2 linked regions of the Ovis aries genome follow. The protein of the gene in region 2 interacts with the protein of the main gene of each other region in a pairwise test. Links are inferred from orthologs where the notes say so. Each region holds a gene or a part of one and is shown on either strand. Other genes may lie near its edges.

Evidence for each region.
Region 1: the proteins of SNRPN (region 2) and SNRPD3 interact in a two-hybrid assay, tested with the Homo sapiens proteins (2 studies listed by BioGRID, with this or other methods). The link is inferred for Ovis aries from reciprocal best matches to the Homo sapiens genes SNRPN and SNRPD3.

The regions. Positions count from the first base shown.
Region 1 is NC_056070.1:71,542,457-71,545,051, forward strand, and holds the end of SNRPD3 (small nuclear ribonucleoprotein Sm D3), read right to left. Parts: intron 2,405-2,595; coding exon 2,212-2,404; intron 765-2,211; coding exon 703-764; 3' UTR 532-702; downstream 1-531. UniProt on the Homo sapiens protein: Plays a role in pre-mRNA splicing as a core component of the spliceosomal U1, U2, U4 and U5 small nuclear ribonucleoproteins (snRNPs), the building blocks of the spliceosome.
Region 2 is NC_056071.1:1,223,125-1,226,875, reverse strand, and holds the start of SNRPN (small nuclear ribonucleoprotein-associated protein N), read right to left. Parts: upstream 2,945-3,751; 5' UTR 2,925-2,944; exon of another isoform or gene 1-2,924. Other genes in the region: SNURF (SNRPN upstream reading frame protein), read right to left, coding at 2,945-3,050.

The DNA.
Region 1 (2,595 bases), on a different chromosome or scaffold from region 2:
CAGTTCGGGGCTGCCGTCAGCTACCAGCGCCGCACACCCCGTCTCTGCGTCAGCAGCCGCCGCTGTGCCAGTACACGCCGAGCGCTCTGACGAACACACAGGACCCTGCCCCCCGGGTCAGCGCAGCACTGCTTAGGAAGCCAGGGCTGCAGGAGCCACGGGGCTCTGAGTGACCTTCTCGTATTAGATTACTTCTGCTAGGTGCTGAGTCACTGGGGCTTGCAGGCTGTAAGCTCTGGGTCTTGGTTTCTTTCCCCACAGGCAGGACCTGTGTGTCCCGTTGTTTAAGCTGAGCTGACAGTGCTCCTGAAGAGGCTGCCGCGTGCATGACTGTGTGCCAACAAGGGAACCTGTGCGCCCTCGGAGCCCCTCCAAGCGCTTAGCCAGTGCCGGCTGGGACGGCGGCCCCCGTGCTCATCAATAACTGTGCTACTTCAAACTGGCGCTTCCCCAGCACACCTCCCAGGGTGTCAAAGCTTAAGCTGCGGCCCAAGCAAACACAGCAAAAAAACTACAAAAGGAACAGAGTCCTCAGATTCTCAAAAAGAAAAAGCCACCATATTTATTTAGTTTAACATCTTACCCACATCTAAAGAAAATGATGTCAACAGATAACCTAGGACATATACATAGGCACGCACCCCGACCCAGATAACCTAAAACAAAAAAAAAAAAAGCAAAGTTCTGTCCAACAGATAAAATCTATCTTCGCTTCTGGAAGATGTTTCCACGTCCCATTCCACGTCCTCTCCCTCTTGCGGCCACTGAAAGGTAGGGGAGAGAAAAGACGAGGCAGGTCGGTGCGGACCCTCACCACCGAGGAGCCAGTCCAGCAGCAGGCCCGCCCGCCACACCTCACGGGGAAAGCGCCCCCAGGAGGGGCGGGTGGCCAGGCAGAGCTGGAGAGGACACCCTGAACCTGTCTCCTGGCCCAGCACTGCCCCACCAGAAGCTGGGGGCAGGGCCTCGCAGGGACGGTGGTTTGGGGGGCCCGCCTGGGAACCAGAGAAAAGATGAATTCTCAGAGCTGCCCCAGGGTGAGCAAGCAAAACACTACAGATGCATTTAATTCACACGTAAAATTCCGAAACAGATGTCAAGTGTTAACGTCTATTAAATCTGGGTGAGGATTCTTGTTCTCTGAGCTGTTCTGCACGTGGAATGTTTCTGAATGGGGGCCGGGGAACCACAGGTGAAAACCCCAAACCACCCCTCGATGAAGACCGCTGTTCTGACTCAGGTCCGAAGAGGGGACCAGTGGCTTTGAAGAAGGGAAGATACCCTGCCGGCCTCTGGACTCTCCTCTCAGAGCCTGGAGCTGACCCAGGAGGGAAGGCAGGCCGTGAGAACCTGGGGGCACCGCCTCCTAGAGCCCCGACAGAGACGGGAGGGCGGCCCCGAGGAAGCGGAGCAGCAGCTGCAGCTCAGCCTCCGTACCTTCCCCTGGACGGAGGGCCAGGGCTCCAGTCCCCGCCGGGAGGGGCGAGGAGGCTCCCTGACCGGCTCTCCTGGAGGGCATCTGCAAGGCCCCTCGGAGCTCCAAGGCCACCTGAAGTGGGACAGGCCTGCTGCAGTTACAGGCCTGAGGGGCATCCGGGGACCTTCTGGCTCTGTATCGATAGATACTCAGACTGCTCCTAACGACTCACTCGTTTCCTAGCTGATCAACACGGCAGAACTCTTCAGGACCCTGACCCTGAACACTGAGTGGGCTAACCCAGGGAAAACGATCAGGCCGCATCACTGGGAAGACCACGTCCCACTTCTGGAACGTAGCAAAGGAAAATCGCATTCAGCCTCCTTTAACGGGTAAAAGATGGCCCCAGACGGCTGACTTCCCATCTGAGAGTGCCCCTCCCCACACCACCTCTCTCGCTCACGCTGGGCATCAGGAGACACCCCAGCCACACAGGGCCCACCCCCCCAGCCCTTCAGGGCCGCGCCTCTGCTCAGCGAGCAGCGCGGGGCAGGCTCCCCGCAGTCACCACAGCGGACTCATCCGCTCTCATCTGAGCCCGTCTTTCCTTAAGGAGCAGCTGTGGATCTTGTGCGCGTCCTGAGTGGGGGCGAGTGAGGCAAGACCGAGAAGGTGGGGTCTGGGGGTCCCCAGGACTGCGGGGCAGCGGTGTGGAGCTGGCTGCCCAGCCACAGGGCCTCCCTAGCAGGCCCCGGCTCGTCTGCCCGGCGCAGCCCCGCGCCCGCAGCACCTACCCTGGGCCTTCAGGATGGCCGCCTTGCCCCGGCCGGCACCCGAGCCCTGGTTCTTGTTCTTCATGCTCTTCAACATGGGTGCGTTCTTCAGCATGTCGGGCAGAATCAGGAAGCGGATCTTGCTGCCCCGGATGTACACCTGCTCCAGCTGGGCCACGCGGCCGTCTCTGTACGTGACCGTGATGTTGGACATCTGTAAGGGAACCGCCCTCGTCAGTAAGGTCACGGGCACCGGCAGAGAGCAGGGGGCAGGGGGCATGAAGGCAAGCGCTGGCTGGAGCGGGGGAGACCAGAAACGCAGATGCGTACGTCACAAGATGAAGCCGGGGACTCCAGAGGGCCTGCGGTGTGTACCGGAGCGGGGCTGCGCCTCGCGCCTCGCAG
Region 2 (3,751 bases):
GATGGTCAGACTTGGCCAAATAACATACAAAAAATGAGAAGTCACAGAACAATGGTATAGTATTAGTTCCCGTTCACCTGGTAAAATAGACCCTTCACTGAAAAAAAAAAATGCACAAAAGTCTAATGTGAGAAACACAAGTAAGTGGAAACTATTAATCCACAAAGCAATGCCACTTAAACCAGAGGAAAACAATTTTTCCATTTTGGAAAGTGTTTATCAAAGGGGAAAAAAGAGACATCAAAGGTGGTACTAAGAAATTATCACTGTAGTAATTATTCTTGAACTTTTGAACTGTGGTGTTGGAAAAGACTCTTGAGAGTCCCTTGGACTGCAAGGAGATCCACCAGTCAATCCTAAAGGAAATCAGTCCTGAATATTCAGTGGAAGGACTGACACTGAAGCTGAAACTCCAATACTTTGGCCACCTGATGCGAAGAACTGACTTATTAGAAAAGACCCTGATGCTGGGAAAGATTGAAGGCAGGAGGAGACGGGGACGACAGAGGATGAGATGGCTGGATGGCATTACTGACTCTAATAATCATGAGTTTGAGTGGACTCCGGAAGTTAGTGACGGACAGGTAAGCCTAGTGTGCTGCAATCCACGGGGTCGCAAAGTATCAAGACGTGACTGAGCAACTGAACTGAATTATTCTTGATGGTAATCAATACTGCTTATTGTGTTATTAGAAAGCAACATAACAAAACATTTTATAAATTACTAATTTTTATACGTTGCATACCCAAACTGAATCCTCATCCTAATAAATTTAAAATACCTAATATACACTATCTTAAAAATGCAGAATATTCGTAACAGCATAGCAAACTAGGGGGAAAGAAACACAAGTACAAAGAAAAAGTAAATCATGAAGGGACCATCATTTATTCATTACAAATCATATTGAGGATTATGTAATAAAATGAAGGAACATTAATGATATACATAAATAGAATAGTTTAAAAACATGATTACAACTATGTTTTCAAAAGAAAAGCAAATGGGTAAAATGAAAGAAAAAAAATGCCACTATGGTTGAAACATGGCTATTTAAAATCTGTGGTTTACTTTCCCATTTTTCTTGGCTATCACTCATATGCTTTACATTTTTATAATGAAAAAGAAAACATATCAATTGTTTAAATGTCTTTACCCATTTACACGTACAGCAGACTTTAACAAGACCCTTGTCACCAAATTCATCTGATTCTCTACTCTGTAATGTTTACTTCATCTACTCTCCTTGTAATACCTTTCCCTTTACCACATTCTATAGCACCAACACTCCCCTACTGGCTCCACCTTATGTTTTCATCTTTGAAAGTGGTTCTCTAAGAGACTAGCAGACTTTTTCTTTTAAAAGGAAAGACAATAAATATTGTAGGTCTTGCCTGGCATTCAATCTGTCATGAATGCTCCCACCTGCCACTGTACTGTCAATAATATCCACAGGCCTTATGTAAATAAATGGATATGGCTCTGTGCTAACAAAATTTTATTTATAAAAACAGGCAATAAATGAGTCAGATACTTTATCAATCTTGCTGTAAAATAATTCTAGTAACTAGTACTATTTAGATGAAACTAGCACTTAAAACTTAGAAAATTAGATTACTCTACTTGTAGATCATAATTATGATTTAAATAATACTATACAGGAACTTGCAAGAGTATCTAAACTATACTAAAGGGCCAAAAAATTCTTGGTTAAAAAATCAATTATGCACACTTATTCATGTAAAAACGTTCTTACTCTGGGGGACAGCTGAGGACAATTATCAGATTCCACTGCCTGAAATCAATTCTACTGTCTTGCAATCAAGTCCAGGCAATTACTGGAGAATGCTGGGTAAAGTATTCAGTAGGGGAGGATTTTTCCGTTTGAAATGATGGCCATAAGCCTAATTAATTTGAGTTGCAGGGTTATACTCTGAAATAGAAATAAAGAAAATCTAGAAGAAAACTCATCTATAAACTTCTTTCCTTAGTTTCTGAAAAGTACATACTAAACCCTTTGAACTTAGGTCATTCAAATCTTAAACTTAAGAAAGGAAAAATAGAGTATTTAATCAAAATTAATTGCAATTTTCTAAAAATCTAAGCAATTAACACAAAAAGACACTGTAAATAAATCTACATAATACTGACAAATCATAAGTTAATAATAGTTTTGTTACATTGTCAGATGACTCAAACAAATGGGTAACAAAACATGAGGAAAGAAAACAAGAAATAAGTAGTAAATAAGCCTGGGAAAATATTTAGCTTCTCATCTGCTAATGGATGTGATGTGTATTTCTAATTTAATAGAAATAAATTATATGTAATTGACAAAATTAATGCAGATGAAAGTGTACCTGGCACTATACTTTCTCATGGCAACTGAAGACTAATAATTCATAATATAATTTAGAACATGAACCTTAATTTCAAATTCCTTGATTTATTTTCACATCTGCATATCCAAGGAAATGGTCCTATCTGTTTTGCAAAAAGCAAATCACTGAAACTTCATTTCAAACTATCAGCAGAAAAGATAAAGTTCTCACAGAAAGGAATTCTAAAACATATTAGGAGGATATTCAGCAACTATTTATAATGAAATACTTCTCTTACGTTAAGGTGAAAAGCAGTACAAGTTAAATATGAATAAAACTACCTAAAAAGCAAAGACTACATTGTCTAGAAAGTAACTCATGACAAAAGTCTTTCAGGGTGAGAGCATTAAGGTACTGCTTTTACTTTTTAAAATTTTCTGCTATGTGTTTATATTTGTATGATGCTTTTAAGGAAAAGAAATTGAATATATCCCAAATAATTAAATGACCTCCAAACATCCTACCCTTTAATTAGTTGTTTAATCCTGATCATGATTTCATCAGCTATAACCTGTTTTTATTTTTCTCTTGAAATCAGCTACCTTGGTGTTCCAATACTGCTTTAACCACCTCTTGGTGTCTCAGCTAAGAATGCCTGTCTCAGTTCTGCCTGGAAATCCACCACAGGTACTTGCTGCTGCTGAGATCGCCTCAGGTACACGTGACACCTACGACAAGAGCACAGAACACATAAATGAAAAGACATTTCCCTATATAGTTAACAATGCAAGCATGAAAAGACCCTTAAATTTAATACTCCAAGGTTCAGAGCATACCACTACATTATGAACAAATTATAAAAGAGGAGGCTCTCTGCACATAGGAATGTACAAGAACTGAGGGATACTTACCCTCTTTGGTGATATTACCAAGGAACTTAAAGGAAAAAAGAAAGAGCTCTTTTGGTTTAAAATGCCCTATAAAAGAACCAAGAGTATAATAACCATTTCTAATCTGGAAACAACTCTTTAACCCCTAAGGAGGTAGGGTATTGGTTAAGGCATTTCCAATGAGACATTTTAAGATAGTTATTTATGCTGACTGGAAGTTACTAACTGAAACAAAGAACCTCCAAGCTACTTAGGCTCTCAGACTATGTAAATCTACCATCCTTTAGTTATCAGGGAATTCTAGAAAAATACTCAACATATTCCTACCTATAAGTAAGACTCTATCTGGCTGTAAATCTGATCCTGAGAATAAGAGATACAGTAAATTACACAGTTTGCTGGCTAACAAGACAAGCATAAATAAATCACCAGCCAAAAAACTGCCCTCATTGTAAGTATGTGCTTGCATGCTAAGTCACTTTAGTTGTATCCAATTTTTTGTGACCCTGTGGACCTTAGCCCGCCAGGCTCCTCTGTTC